Linked DNA regions of Drosophila melanogaster. The main gene of each other region encodes a partner of the protein of the gene in region 2 in a complex. Each region holds a gene or a part of one and is shown on either strand. Other genes may lie near its edges.

The links.
Region 1: Clp (region 2) and Cpsf100 share a complex: the UniProt entries of both Drosophila melanogaster proteins name them as parts of the cleavage and polyadenylation specificity factor (CPSF) complex.
Region 3: Clp (region 2) and Cpsf160 share a complex: the UniProt entries of both Drosophila melanogaster proteins name them as parts of the cleavage and polyadenylation specificity factor (CPSF) complex.

What each region holds. Positions count from the first base shown.
Region 1 is NT_033777.3:29,032,932-29,037,602, forward strand, and holds Cpsf100 (cleavage and polyadenylation specificity factor 100), read left to right. Parts: upstream 1-1,641; 5' UTR 1,642-1,731; coding exon 1,732-1,880; intron 1,881-1,939; coding exon 1,940-4,061; 3' UTR 4,062-4,131; downstream 4,132-4,671. Other genes in the region: beta4GalNAcTB (beta1,4-N-acetylgalactosaminyltransferase B), read right to left, coding at 17-988; Slu7, read right to left, coding at 4,152-4,671. UniProt on the Drosophila melanogaster protein: Component of the cleavage and polyadenylation specificity factor (CPSF) complex that plays a key role in pre-mRNA 3'-end formation, recognizing the AAUAAA signal sequence and interacting with poly(A) polymerase and other factors to bring about cleavage and poly(A) addition.
Region 2 is NT_033779.5:818,377-821,749, forward strand, and holds Clp (clipper), read left to right. Parts: upstream 1-1,587; 5' UTR 1,588-1,702; coding exon 1,703-2,593; 3' UTR 2,594-2,833; downstream 2,834-3,373. Other genes in the region: PGAP2 (Post-GPI attachment to proteins 2), read right to left, coding at 131-267, 328-958; CG3662 (uncharacterized protein), read left to right, coding at 3,176-3,283. UniProt on the Drosophila melanogaster protein: Component of the cleavage and polyadenylation specificity factor (CPSF) complex that plays a key role in pre-mRNA 3'-end formation, recognizing the AAUAAA signal sequence and interacting with poly(A) polymerase and other factors to bring about cleavage and poly(A) addition.
Region 3 is NT_033778.4:14,497,449-14,505,417, reverse strand, and holds the start of Cpsf160 (cleavage and polyadenylation specificity factor 160), read left to right. Parts: upstream 1-1,929; 5' UTR 1,930-2,053; coding exon 2,054-2,887; intron 2,888-2,956; coding exon 2,957-3,520; intron 3,521-3,578; coding exon 3,579-4,064; intron 4,065-4,121; coding exon 4,122-6,605; 3' UTR 6,606-6,860; intron 6,861-7,969. Other genes in the region: Asx (additional sex combs), read right to left, coding at 1-171. UniProt on the Drosophila melanogaster protein: Component of the cleavage and polyadenylation specificity factor (CPSF) complex that plays a key role in pre-mRNA 3'-end formation, recognizing the AAUAAA signal sequence and interacting with poly(A) polymerase and other factors to bring about cleavage and poly(A) addition.

The DNA.
Region 1 (4,671 bases), on a different chromosome or scaffold from region 2:
TAACAAATACTGGCACTCAGGTATCAACCAGGATGTGCGTGAACAAACTGTGCATTCGCCGCTCCATTTCCGTGTACACCAGTGAGTTGAGTCCATCCGCGTGCTGGCGCAGAGTCGCCGATCTCAGCAGTGCCACGCGATTGGCATTCGGCTGCTCCTGTTTGTGCTTCAGCATGGTGTACTTACTGAACTCCATTGCGAATCGGCAAATGTCGATATTCAGGGCCTGCAGGCGCTCGTAGAGGTCATCGTCCTCTCCGCCCCAGCCGTAATACAGATTGGACATGCCGTTGATCTGCTGGTACTGGGCGGTGTTGATGGCCACCACGCCGCCGAAAAGACCGCGGTAAGGCAGTCGGAATCGCCAGTGATCCAGGGCAGAGCTCATGTGCCGTGGACGTTCGGAGCAGGCATATATTTGACCCGAATTCAGTGGCAGGAGGTCCACGTCATGAAGGATGAGGCAGGGAAATCCATACTCCGCAGCCACCTGGGCGCCAATGTTGAAGAGCATCGCCCTGTTAAACGGCTTATGATCGAACTGTTCGACCAGGAAAATCCGATAGTGGATCAGCTGCTGCGGCAGGTAATTGTGCATGTACGTGAGGAAGGCGTGCAGCTGCTCCTCCCGCTGCCTGTACGGCACAATGATGGCGGTGCTGTAGCGAGCCTGACATCCTTCCGGACGGAACTCGCCGCCAGGACGGATCTCCGCGCCCCTCTGCACCGCGTCATGGTAATGGGCCAGGTGGTAGACGAACCGGTTTTCGGCAATGATCTCCGAGTAGGTGCATTCGAAAACTTCCTGCTGGGAGACATTTCTGGTCACCTGCGGCACCAGAGCCCCCTCGATCTTTGATTCCTCGATGTAGTCGTAGTGCGATGCGAACCGGAAGGGCAGACACAGGTACACGATGAGAGTGATCAGTCCGATGGCGATGAGAAGATCATATTTATGGAAGCTGCGGACCCAGAGCCGCACGAACATTGTTGGCAGGAAAAGTTGACTCAGTGCGATCTTTGGAAACTCCGCATCCTAATTTCGGACGCAATCTTCGCGGCCGGTTGGCGAATAACAGCTGACGACCAGGGACGCAACGCATAAACCAACAGACAGTGAAACTTCACCAGCTCGAATTGTTTTTTTTTTGGTTTATTTTCTCACATAATATTCATTAATTTTTTAAATGGTTTTTACGAACAACTAAAGTCTACTAACCAAAAAGAAAATGTTTATGAAATCAATTTTTAGGATGCCTTTAATACAAAATAGCATAAGAAGTTGTTTTTATAAAAAGTATGCAACCGATTGGGCATCCATGGTTCTTTAAAACGGCATGACTCTACCCCACCCTTATTAATTAAACAATAATTTGATAAAAAGTTGTGTTTACTTATACTAGATTGTTGAGACTTCTATTGATAAGGATGCATAGTTATAAATGTTGACTCATTAAAGAGAAGGTAATTGAACTGAAGAAGGTTGTAGCCATATGTATGTATGGTTAATACATGAGAGACATAATCAAAGTTTTTAATTTATAACATTTAAAATGTCAATCTTTGTTTATTATCGGGTTGTACTGTTCGCTCAACAAGTACGTACTGTATAAACAAAGCAACAGCACTCTGGCAACGCCGTGACAGTTTCCCATCCCTGAACCGGCGAAGAACTCTTGGTTTCCTTTTACAATTTCTTAAACAAATGCACCGGTGGTTTAATTGGCAAAAATGACCTCCATTATCAAGCTGCACACTATATCTGGGGCGATGGACGAGTCCCCGCCATGCTATATCCTACAGATAGACGATGTGCGGATATTACTTGACTGCGGATGGGACGAAAAGTTCGATGCCAACTTTATCAAGGAACTGAAGAGGTGACAATTGTATACATATTTCAGGAAAACAATAACCTAAATATTTTGTGTATTCCCAGGCAGGTGCACACCCTGGACGCCGTGCTGCTATCCCATCCGGATGCATATCATCTTGGAGCCCTGCCATACTTGGTGGGCAAGCTGGGGCTCAATTGCCCCATCTACGCCACCATTCCCGTGTTCAAAATGGGTCAAATGTTTATGTATGACCTTTACATGTCGCACTTCAATATGGGAGACTTCGATCTATTTTCGCTGGACGACGTGGACACGGCTTTCGAAAAGATAACCCAGTTGAAATACAACCAAACAGTTTCACTGAAGGACAAAGGATATGGAATATCCATTACGCCTTTGAACGCTGGACACATGATCGGCGGCACCATCTGGAAGATCGTCAAGGTGGGCGAGGAGGATATTGTGTACGCCACCGACTTCAACCATAAGAAGGAGCGCCACTTAAGTGGCTGCGAGCTGGACAGGCTGCAAAGACCTTCGCTGCTCATTACCGACGCCTACAACGCACAGTACCAGCAGGCCAGAAGGAGGGCCCGCGATGAAAAGCTAATGACCAACATCCTGCAAACGGTGCGTAACAACGGCAATGTCCTGATAGCCGTGGATACGGCAGGACGAGTCCTGGAGTTGGCCCACATGCTGGACCAGCTGTGGAAGAACAAGGAATCTGGGCTAATGGCCTACTCCCTGGCCCTTCTTAACAATGTGAGCTACAACGTGATTGAGTTCGCCAAGTCGCAGATAGAATGGATGAGTGACAAGCTCACGAAGGCTTTCGAAGGTGCCCGCAACAATCCCTTTCAGTTCAAGCACATCCAGCTGTGCCATTCACTGGCGGACGTCTATAAATTGCCCGCTGGTCCAAAAGTGGTGTTGGCCAGTACCCCAGATCTGGAGAGCGGATTCACGAGGGATCTCTTCGTGCAATGGGCCAGCAATGCCAACAATAGCATAATCCTTACTACTCGTACGTCTCCCGGCACTTTAGCCATGGAACTGGTGGAGAACTGCGCACCGGGCAAGCAAATCGAATTGGACGTCAGGCGAAGAGTTGACTTAGAAGGAGCTGAGTTGGAGGAGTACCTACGCACACAGGGCGAGAAACTTAATCCCCTTATCGTAAAGCCCGATGTGGAGGAAGAGAGCAGTTCCGAGTCCGAGGACGACATCGAGATGAGCGTCATCACGGGCAAGCATGATATTGTGGTCAGACCGGAGGGTCGCCATCACTCCGGTTTTTTCAAGTCCAACAAACGACACCACGTGATGTTCCCCTATCACGAGGAAAAGGTGAAGTGCGATGAGTATGGGGAGATCATCAATCTAGACGACTACCGGATTGCGGATGCGACAGGCTATGAGTTTGTACCTATGGAGGAGCAAAACAAGGAGAATGTTAAAAAGGAAGAACCGGGCATAGGAGCAGAACAACAGGCTAACGGAGGAATCGTCGACAATGATGTTCAGTTGCTGGAGAAGCCCACCAAGCTGATAAGCCAACGCAAAACAATCGAGGTGAATGCCCAAGTCCAGAGGATCGATTTCGAAGGTCGCTCTGATGGCGAGTCCATGCTAAAGATCCTCTCCCAGTTGAGGCCACGAAGGGTTATCGTCATACACGGCACTGCCGAAGGCACACAAGTGGTGGCCAGGCACTGCGAACAGAATGTCGGTGCGCGCGTTTTTACTCCGCAGAAGGGGGAAATCATTGATGTCACCAGTGAGATTCACATCTATCAGGTACGCCTGACGGAAGGACTTGTCTCCCAGCTGCAGTTCCAAAAGGGCAAGGACGCGGAGGTGGCGTGGGTGGATGGTCGCCTGGGCATGCGGGTGAAGGCCATCGAAGCACCCATGGACGTAACTGTGGAGCAGGACGCTTCCGTGCAAGAAGGCAAGACATTGACTCTTGAAACACTGGCGGACGATGAGATTCCTATCCACAACTCAGTGCTCATTAACGAGCTGAAACTGTCCGACTTTAAGCAGACTCTCATGCGTAATAACATCAACTCGGAGTTCTCCGGCGGCGTGCTCTGGTGCAGCAACGGAACTCTGGCCTTGAGGCGAGTGGATGCCGGCAAGGTAGCCATGGAGGGATGCTTATCCGAGGAGTACTACAAGATCAGGGAGTTGCTGTACGAGCAGTATGCGATCGTTTAATATTCAAAATGACGTTTGTGTAAGCCCCTAATGTTTTACTTGTTAAGATTAGAAAGTTTTTATATAAGAGAATCAGTTGTACTTTATTGCCTACATAAATTGCAGCATGGGATCTTCTGCCCTTGGCCGCTTCTTCTTCCACTCCTCGATCTCGTCCTCTGTGGGCGCCTTCACATCATACATGCTGTTATAGGCTCGTTTGCGATCGTCCAGTTCCTCGGGAATATCTTTTTCCTTTGTCTTATCTTTGTCCTTGGTCTCCTTGTTCTTGCCTTTTTGTTTTCGCTGCTCCTTAGCCTTCTTTTTCTTCTCGCGCTTCTTCGACTTCTTCTTGGTCTTCTTCTTCTCAGGTTTTACCTCCTCCTCTTCGGATGAGGAGGGTTCCGAACTCGATGCTGAGTCCACTTCGGAAGTGGGCCTTTCAGGTGGCACTTCTGGTACCTTGAATTGGCTTTGAGCTGCAGGTTCTGTAGTAGCCGCTGCAGTGGAGCTCGTAGAATGATGTTCCGAGTAGCCCTCTGGCTCCTGCATGCCCACGCAGTAGGAGTTCTTGATGAAGGACTTGCAGCACTTGTAACCCCAGCGTCCGGCGTTCCAGAAACTGCCCCAA
Region 2 (3,373 bases):
TAAGCAATTTCCTTTTGGTAAAATTAAGTAAACATTGAGCTTAAGCTAATACCGCGTATGTACACAATACTCGAGGACGACTGGCTGGCTGAAATGGCGGCGCAGGCTGGGTTTGATCTAGTTCATTGGTCTACGATTGTGATAGGTAGAGACCGTGCTTGGCATCACACACCACATTCAGGGCGTAGAAGTCCCAGTAGGAGGTCATGTGGAACCCCATGTTGGTCAGCACCACGATGTACTCGAACAACGCGAAGAAAGTATAGACTGTGGATAGAAAAGATTCATTATAAGACAATAGTGGACTCACAACCGATTCCCACTCACCTCCCGCCTCGCAATGCGAGTTGTGCCTCACGAAGCAGTATCCTGCCAAGCCAAAGGCGATCACATTCACCAAGAACAGATTTCTCTTGTACCTCAGCGACTTCTCCTCGTGCGGCAAGAGCACGGTCTTCTGTATATTCCTGTTCAGCAGGTAGGAAACCAGCATATAGCACTCGGAACACGCAATGAACACCACAAATGCGTTTCTGTGGGTCTCGTAATGATCCGCAGAGGTCCAAAACGACAAGCAGAAGAGGGCCAGATCCTCCACGACGTTCAAGAAGCAGGCCAGGATGCCCAGCAATCTTCTGCTCCGGCGGATGTGTTCCCGATAGTGCTCCAAGTAGATTTTGGCAACTGCCAAACGGAGTGGTAAATGCAGAAATATGGCCAGTCTCCAGACGGTTTTTTGGGGCTCATAGTTCCCAATGGCCGCCGAGACGGAGGGCAGATAGTTGGTCACATCGCAGTGGGTGTAGGTGCTCCTAACGAAGTCAAAGGTCAGAGACCAAATCACGCAGAAGAAGAAGCCTCCCAGGGGCAAACTAAGAGCCACCAGTGCCAGTCGCGCAAAGGGAAGCCGGAAGAGGACGCTTTTGGGATCACTGAAGCGCTCGTAAGTAGGCAGCATTTGACCTTTGGAGTGGGTGGACTACGTGGGGTGTTGGTCGGGTTGGGTTCTTCAGCGGCGCTCGCTCCTCATTTTTCAGTTCCTCGCTCCCAAATTAACTAATGGCTTTTCACGCAGATTGCTTACGTTATAAACATTGCGAAAAGTTGTAAACAAGTGATCGATACCAGCTGACTATCGGCCTCTGGCGGCGGGGGTGGTTCATTATCGAATTTACTCAGTGTTTAATGTTTAAATTTCGAAGCAATTCAAGTGTTGCTCTTGTGTAAGTGAAATTTTTGAAACTGGCTCGTTCATTGTAGATAAGCCCTTTTATCAGCAACACTAACGGGGCGGATACTTAATTTCTATGTAATACTTTAGTCGCCAACAGTGCTGACCAATATCAACTTACTTTTGTAGCTAAATAGCTAAAATGTTATTAATGGCGGTTTAGTTAAATAAGGTCATAAAAACAAGTATTTTCTTACTATGACTAATCTTATAAATTAAAAACATTTGGAGACTAAAAATATTTATATACAAATATCTATTCCCTGAAGTGGACAGATTTGGCTAATAAACAGCTAGACGGCCATGACTGTCTTGCCTTGCGAACTATCGATATCGATAACGCCGGTTGCGTGTCAGCACTATTCGCACTGAAACAACAAACACGCGCAAAAAAAGAAGAAGGAAACTGCATTGTTTACCAGATTTCGGAGTTTTTCCTCATCTATCCGAGCATCCGCGAATCCGTCAGAGATGGACATCCTTTTGGCCAACGTAAGTGGGCTGCAGTTCAAGGCGGAGCGGGACCTCATCGAGCAGGTGGGTGCCATCCCGCTGCCGTTCTACGGCATGGACAAGTCCATTGCGGCGGTCTGCAACTTCATCACCAGGAACGGACAGGAGTGCGACAAAGGGAGCGCCTGTCCCTTCCGACACATTCGCGGGGACCGGACGATCGTGTGCAAGCACTGGCTGAGAGGACTGTGCAAGAAGGGCGACCAGTGCGAGTTCCTGCACGAGTACGACATGACCAAGATGCCCGAGTGCTACTTCTACTCGAGGTTCAACGCCTGCCACAACAAAGAGTGTCCCTTTTTGCACATCGACCCGCAGAGCAAGGTGAAGGATTGTCCGTGGTACAAGAGAGGCTTCTGCCGCCACGGTCCCCACTGCCGGCACCAGCATCTGCGCCGTGTCCTGTGCATGGACTACCTAGCCGGCTTCTGCCCCGAGGGCCCGTCCTGCAAGCACATGCATCCGCACTTCGAGCTGCCCCCGCTGGCGGAACTGGGTAAGGATCAGCTGCACAAGAAACTGCCCACGTGCCACTATTGCGGCGAGCTGGGCCACAAGGCCAACTCGTGCAAGCAGTATGTGGGCAGCCTGGAGCATCGCAACAATATCAACGCAATGGATCACTCCGGCGGACACTCGGGCGGCTACTCTGGACACTCCGGCCACATCGAGGGTGCCGATGACATGCAATCCAATCACCACAGTCAGCCGCATGGTCCCGGCTTCGTCAAGGTGCCCACGCCCCTGGAGGAGATCACCTGCTACAAGTGCGGGAACAAGGGCCACTACGCGAACAAGTGTCCCAAGGGTCACCTCGCCTTCCTCTCTAACCAACATAGTCATAAGTAGGACGCTCTGCTCTGTATGATTAGACTGTAAGAGTGCAGAAATAAAGGTCGAAAGCGGTCTGCATAGTCCGCTGTGTAGTCCAGAGGTCGTAGGTTCCCAACTTCCGCAGGCGAACGTTTCAATCATTCTGTGTTTAAAGTGTATGTTAAGAAACTCATTTGCATTTTTGAAAAAAGTCCCTAGAACTGCCAGTAGAACGTATTGTGTTATCAGCGAAATAAACTTCCATAAGATACAAGTAAGCAATTCGTTTTGGAAGGGAGTTTAGTTGTATGTTTTGGGTTTTCTCCAAAAATATAAATGTATCATGTTTTTTCGTTTGTAAGATAACAATTTGTGCCTCACAATTTTTTTTCGGATTCAAGTTTCGAATTTTTGGGCGGCGAATCGTCTTTTCCAAGTTTGCAACCACTCTAGAGTTGCCTCACTTTTGTCCACATCTTTTGAAAGGCGAATTAGAACTGGTCACACTGGCTTGTCTGGATCGAGATTTCAGCTCGTCAACAATTGCGCACTAAATTTTCAGTAAAAACAAACAAGTTGGTCGTGCGGAGGCATCAAGAACACAGCATACGAGCAGCCATGACAATTCTGGGAAAACTGCGGGGACAGCCCACGGACCAGGAGAAGGTGCCCCTGCCCATGAACCTCAACGACGAGGCGCTCATGCACCATGGCTCCCTAATCGCAGTGAGTTTTGCTTGGCATCGCATCTGCGGGATGTGTCCTTATTTTTGCGCAATCGTGCTATGTCCTTGTCCATCCCTCGCGCCCTGCCCG
Region 3 (7,969 bases), on a different chromosome or scaffold from region 2:
CTCGTCGTCGTCCACCAGATTCACATGCTCCATTATCATCGTAGGCGGTGGAGCGGCCAACAGGGATTGCTGCTGCAGCATCGGCTGGTGATGCTGATCCGCTTGTGGAATGAGAAGTTGTTGGTGCTGCGACGACGTCGTCGTCGTCGTATCCGGCGTAATGGTTTTCATTGTTAATCGCTCTGCCTAATCTATTTACAGCGAACTTTTGATCCATGCACCCATGTCAAGCAAGTTTCTTCCGCACACACTGGAAATGTTGAGAAATAGATAATTTAATATTATTTTTTTGTTAACAATGAAATAGTTTTGTTATGTGATGGTTTATTTGGATATAAATTAAAAACAGAGCATTAATTCTTTACTTTAAATTGCTTGGCAACTTGACAATGATCATATACAAATGCAAAATGATGTGTAACAAAAATGAATGTAACTTCTTATAGTTTTCAAATTTAAATTTGTTTATTTGATTTATCCGTGTTGGGGTTCAGCCAATATTGCTTGTTTTTAACATTTTCAAGCTTCCCAGTCGATTTTAGATGCCATATTAGATGGCAAAACTAGTTTTTGGTTAATACTATAGTGCACGAAATTAATCCTGATCGGCTGCACTAACGAATTGTCCATTTTAAGGCAAAAAGTGTCTGTATAATTTTAACGTTGCGCCCTTTGTATATGTATGTACGTCATCTGTGTGCATGTATGTGCGCATATATTTCGTTAGAAGTGTGTGCGTGTGTTTTATTTTTTTATATGTAATGAAATTGCGGCTATACGGAGATTTTTCCGTTTGTTATGCCTTAGTTTTAATTATTGTTTTTGTTTTCCTCACGACTTTTCTCACTTGCCAGCAGTAATTTTAAACAAATCAACAATGTAACAGCAGTAACAACAACAAATACGAACGACCTGCAAAGTTGGTTATATTTTTTTCTCACGCACGCATACACATACACACAAACACACACAAATGCACACTAGCACATCGGAGAAGTAGAAAAATGACTTTTGTTCCTATTTAAGTAACTAATTGCGGGTATTTTACCTATTTATGGTACGGATTTAGATCTGTACTAGAGCACTATCTTTTGCATAATGCCGATTTCCGCCTCGTTAATGGCTCACTAAATTAAATATTGAATGGGGGAAATGTGAATGCCAAACACACAAACAAAGCAGCTACAAAATGATTCTTTTCTAGCCAACTATGCCGGTCCCTTTCTGGCGCACGCGTTTTCCCGTATCGGGCGCAGCGCCCGTTTCTCTCTCACACTCACTATGCAGAAAAGCTGCGTTTAATTGAATGAAATTGTTTAAGTTACTACAACGCAAACACTAGTCACTAATCACACCAACTAGTTAATGTTTTTTCGTGGCCAGTTTTAAACGCAAAACGCTCGAATTTCTGGCTGCCCTGCCAAGTCCGATGGGGTTGTTGATGTCGCATCCGATACATCGGATAGGAGCGGATGTATTTGCGCAGTCACTGCTCCCGCACCAGGGCTGCCAACTATCGATTGAACGATCAGGTCAAGAAGTAGCTAGAAATAAGCTGGCAAATATGAAGCGTTACGTACGTAGCGGTTATTTGATTTTAAGTTATGTTACATTTACGTACATATATAATATAATTGTATAACGTGTGCATACAAAATAATTGTTATAAAAATATACAAGCTCTAAGACCAAAATGCACTATAAATAATTTCTAAATGTTTAGACTCGTAACTTATGCAAATACGTAACATACGTATCATTTTACATGTTCAGATAAAAAAATATAGCTTTTATTTGGTCAAATACATTTTGCAAGATATTAACTAACGAAATACTTAAAAACCGCTAAAACAAAAAGCAAGACAAAAATCAAGCCAATATGGTATTCCACCCACTAAAACGGCGAACAAGTTTTCACATCCAATGAGCGATAACTTTGCACCCACAATCGATAGTTCCGCAGCTGCTGTGTGTGTTGGGCCGGCAAATTGTTAAACTGGCTGAAATTGTTAATAATGTTTTAAGAAATTGCGACACCAATTAAACCACCGCAATGTTTTCGATGTGCAAGCAGACGCACTCCGCCACGGCGGTGGAGTTTTCGATAGCATGCCGCTTCTTTAACAATCTGGATGAGAACCTGGTGGTGGCGGGCGCCAATGTACTAAAGGTGTACCGGATAGCGCCCAACGTGGAGGCGAGCCAGCGTCAAAAGCTGAATCCCAGCGAGATGCGTCTGGCGCCCAAAATGCGACTGGAATGCCTAGCCACATATACGCTCTACGGCAATGTGATGTCGCTGCAGTGCGTCTCATTGGCGGGTGCCATGCGGGATGCGCTGTTGATTAGTTTCAAGGACGCGAAATTGTCCGTACTGCAGCACGATCCCGATACGTTTGCGCTGAAAACTCTCTCACTTCACTATTTCGAGGAAGATGACATACGTGGTGGTTGGACGGGTCGCTATTTTGTGCCCACAGTTCGCGTAGATCCCGATTCCAGGTGTGCCGTCATGTTGGTCTACGGCAAACGGCTGGTGGTACTGCCCTTTCGCAAGGACAACAGCCTGGACGAGATCGAGCTAGCGGATGTGAAGCCAATTAAAAAGGCTCCGACGGCAATGGTCAGCAGGACGCCTATTATGGCATCGTACCTGATAGCACTGCGAGATCTTGATGAGAAGATCGACAATGTTCTGGACATACAATTCCTGCACGGCTACTACGAACCAACGCTGCTTATACTCTACGAACCGGTGCGAACCTGTCCGGGAAGAATAAAGGTGCGCTCCGATACTTGCGTTTTGGTGGCCATTTCGTTGAACATTCAACAGCGAGTGCATCCGATTATTTGGACCGTGAACAGTCTACCTTTTGACTGCCTACAAGTGGGTGTTTGAAAATGCCACTTACCTTTTAGGAGTCACAACGTTTAATGTGTCATTTTTCCCTTGCAGGTTTACCCGATTCAGAAGCCAATTGGGGGTTGTCTGGTAATGACAGTCAATGCTGTAATCTATCTCAATCAGAGTGTCCCTCCATATGGCGTCAGTTTAAACAGTTCAGCGGATAACAGCACCGCATTTCCACTGAAGCCACAGGATGGCGTTCGTATTAGTTTGGATTGTGCTAACTTTGCATTTATTGATGTCGACAAGCTGGTAATCTCGCTTCGCACTGGAGATCTATACGTGCTTACGCTTTGCGTTGACTCAATGAGAACGGTTAGGAACTTCCATTTCCACAAAGCAGCCGCCAGTGTGCTAACTAGTTGTATCTGCGTTCTGCACTCCGAATACATATTTTTGGGATCACGTCTCGGAAATTCCTTATTGCTGCACTTTACAGAGGAGGACCAGAGCACGGTCATTACGTTAGATGAGGTGGAACAGCAATCGGAGCAGCAGCAAAGGAATCTGCAGGACGAGGATCAGAATTTGGAGGAAATTTTTGATGTAGATCAATTGGAAATGGCACCGACCCAAGCAAAATCGCGTCGTATTGAGGATGAGGAACTAGAGGTTTGTAAACAATATACTTAAAGTTTTGAATTGTTTTTAAATTTGATCGTTTTTACAGGTGTATGGTTCTGGAGCTAAGGCATCGGTTCTTCAGCTGCGAAAATTCATATTTGAGGTGTGCGACAGTCTAATGAATGTAGCACCAATCAACTACATGTGCGCCGGAGAAAGAGTGGAATTCGAAGAGGATGGCGTTACGTTGCGACCACATGCGGAATCTCTGCAAGATCTAAAGATAGAACTAGTCGCTGCCACGGGTCACAGCAAAAACGGAGCTCTGTCCGTATTTGTAAACTGCATTAATCCTCAAATCATAACAAGCTTTGAGTTAGATGGGTGCCTCGATGTGTGGACTGTGTTTGATGATGCCACTAAGAAGTCTTCGCGAAATGATCAGCATGATTTCATGTTGCTTTCACAAAGGAATTCTACATTGGTTTTACAAACAGGACAGGAAATTAATGAAATCGAGAATACGGGCTTTACGGTTAACCAGCCGACCATATTTGTCGGTAATCTCGGACAGCAGCGGTTCATTGTTCAGGTTAGTTTGAGGTCGTATTAATGGTATTTTGTATATAATTATTTCTTTATTCATTAGGTCACCACCCGTCATGTCAGATTATTGCAAGGAACTCGATTAATTCAAAATGTCCCCATTGATGTGGGCTCGCCAGTGGTACAGGTGTCCATAGCAGATCCCTACGTTTGCCTGCGAGTGCTCAACGGTCAGGTTATCACATTAGCGCTGCGAGAAACCCGTGGAACTCCTCGTTTGGCTATCAACAAGCATACCATTAGCAGCTCACCCGCAGTGGTTGCCATTTCGGCATATAAAGATTTATCAGGACTATTCACAGTGAAAGGTGATGATATAAACCTGACCGGCAGCTCAAACAGTGCATTTGGACATAGTTTTGGCGGCTACATGAAGGCCGAGCCCAACATGAAGGTGGAGGACGAAGAAGATCTGCTCTACGGCGATGCCGGAAGTGCCTTCAAGATGAACAGCATGGCGGATTTGGCGAAACAATCAAAACAAAAGAACTCGGACTGGTGGCGACGCCTTCTTGTGCAAGCAAAGCCCAGCTATTGGTTAGTGGTTGCCCGTCAGAGTGGCACCTTGGAGATCTACTCAATGCCGGACATGAAGCTTGTGTATCTCGTAAACGATGTGGGCAATGGTTCAATGGTTCTTACGGATGCAATGGAATTCGTGCCGATTTCACTGACCACGCAGGAGAACTCGAAGGCGGGCATTGTACAGGCTTGTATGCCGCAGCATGCTAACTCTCCACTGCCATTGGAATTGAGTGTAATAGGCTTGGGTCTAAATGGAGAAAGACCTTTACTTTTGGTCAGGACTCGAGTAGAGCTGCTAATATACCAGGTGTTCCGATATCCCAAGGGTCACCTGAAGATACGTTTCCGAAAGATGGATCAACTGAATTTGCTGGACCAACAGCCGACGCATATTGACTTGGATGAGAACGATGAGCAGGAGGAGATAGAATCTTATCAAATGCAACCAAAGTATGTCCAAAAACTACGACCATTCGCCAACGTTGGAGGACTCTCCGGCGTTATGGTATGCGGCGTCAATCCTTGCTTTGTTTTCCTAACATTCCGAGGAGAACTTCGCATACATCGGCTGCTTGGTAACGGAGATGTGCGTAGCTTTGCTGCCTTCAACAATGTTAATATTCCCAATGGATTCCTTTACTTTGACACAACCTATGAGCTTAAGATCTCTGTGTTGCCCAGCTACTTGAGTTATGACTCCGTTTGGCCGGTGAGAAAGGTTCCTCTCAGATGTACACCAAGACAACTTGTTTACCATCGCGAGAATCGGGTTTATTGCCTAATCACTCAAACGGAGGAACCGATGACCAAGTACTATCGGTTTAACGGCGAGGATAAGGAGCTGTCCGAGGAAAGCCGTGGCGAGAGATTCATCTACCCCATTGGCTCGCAATTCGAAATGGTTTTAATATCACCAGAAACCTGGGAAATTGTGCCAGATGCATCAATTACCTTTGAGCCCTGGGAACACGTCACCGCCTTTAAGATCGTTAAGTTGTCTTACGAAGGTACAAGATCAGGACTCAAGGAATACCTTTGCATTGGAACTAACTTTAATTACAGTGAGGATATTACCAGCAGAGGAAATATTCATATATATGATATTATAGAAGTGGTTCCCGAACCCGGAAAACCGATGACCAAATTCAAGATAAAGGAAATATTTAAGAAGGAGCAGAAGGGACCAGTTTCTGCCATTTCAGATGTTTTGGGTTTTCTGGTGACGGGACTTGGCCAGAAGATCTACATTTGGCAACTTCGTGATGGAGACCTTATTGGAGTGGCTTTTATAGATACAAATATCTATGTCCATCAGATTATCACCGTGAAATCCCTGATTTTTATTGCAGATGTTTACAAATCCATAAGTTTGCTGCGCTTCCAGGAGGAGTATCGCACATTGTCGCTGGCCTCGCGAGATTTTAATCCTCTGGAGGTTTATGGAATTGAATTCATGGTGGATAACTCAAATCTGGGTTTCCTGGTGACCGATGCCGAGCGCAATATAATTGTCTACATGTATCAGCCGGAGGCCAGGGAATCACTGGGTGGCCAAAAACTTCTCCGCAAGGCGGATTATCACCTGGGTCAGGTGGTAAACACCATGTTTCGGGTGCAGTGCCATCAAAAGGGATTGCATCAGCGACAACCCTTCCTCTACGAAAACAAGCATTTCGTAGTTTATGGCACGCTGGATGGAGCTTTGGGATATTGCTTGCCCCTTCCCGAGAAAGTCTACAGGAGATTCCTTATGTTGCAGAATGTGCTCCTTTCCTATCAGGAACACCTTTGCGGCCTCAATCCCAAGGAATACCGCACTCTCAAGTCATCCAAGAAACAAGGCATCAACCCGTCTCGCTGCATCATTGACGGAGATTTAATTTGGTCATATCGACTAATGGCCAATTCGGAACGCAATGAAGTGGCGAAAAAGATTGGCACGCGCACTGAAGAAATCTTGGGGGATTTGCTGGAAATCGAACGACTAGCCAGCGTTTTTTAGACATCCTATAGTGTGAAAGATGTAAAGTTTTAGTTGATAGTTGTATTTGTAATTTATGTTACGAGTTTCCCAATTGTAAATCTAGTTTTATAGGCACAACAAAGTATTTTGTTAAGTAAACTTGGAGTTTCTTATGGTTTTGGTGGTCTGGAACACAATTCTGAGCGCTATGGCAGCTCGTTGGACTGTATATCAATAATACAATTAAAAATGTATGCTATCTTAAAGACAAAAACATGGATGGCCGAAGTATTGGGTCTAATCAAAGACACTAGAATAACAAGATGCGTAACGCCATACGATTTTTTGGCACACAATTTTTTGGCCGTGGCTCTAGAGGTGGCTCCAGGCTCTCTCGAATTTTTGTTAGAGAGCGAGAGAGCGAAGAGCGCTACAGCGAACCGCTCTTTTCTACGCATACAGTGATAGCAGACAACTTTATGTGTGCACACGTATGCTCATGCATTGTAAATTTGACAAAATATGCCCTTCACCTTAGAAGTTCTTTGACTTTAAATCTATATTATTTTTGATCAATTGGCACCATGCGAAAAATTCTTGTTTTGCATTGCCTTAACGTTATTATTATTTGAAAATAGATTAGAAATAGTCAAATCTATGTACATATTATCACAAAAATAAATTTCAAAAATGACTTTATATAAGAATATTTGTCATTAGAGTATTCATCTTGCGGCGTGTGAAAAATTAATAAGGCAATGATTGTTGAGTGCTTGGTGTCCGCACTTCGTGCCTCAAGATATGAACAAAGCAAAGACACTGGAATAATTCTAGTGTCTTTGATATTACTTTTGCAATAAACAGTTATCATATTTAATTATTTAGTATATTTATTAAGTCATTTGACTTAATATGATGTAACATTAACATTAAAAGTGTTTCAAAAAAAATATTTCGCTTTTAAAAAATTGTCAGATGAGAGACAAATTAGAATTAAACATAAATATAAATGTGTAAACGATAGCTAATTCGAGCGGCGATTTATACAAACGAATTTAAAAAGCTTTAAAATTATAATAATCAGGGCGCGAATTTTTAAAAATTATTTTATTTTATCATATTGCTACGAAATTGGCAAAAACTACCCTAATATGTACTATGTAAATTCATTTCTTCGATCAGAATTGATTTCGGCCCGAAAATCGTCTTCTAGCACAACACGCACACATATACGAGTTCTCGACTCTTGTTTTTACTCACACAAGCAAGCAAATTAAATTTTTAGATTTCTTACGCTCTCAGCGGGAGTGAGCGGAAAGAGAGCAATTTTGGCCGTCGCTAAAAAATTGGCTGCATAGTGCCAAACCAATGTATGGCCGTTACGCATCTTGTTATTCTAGTGT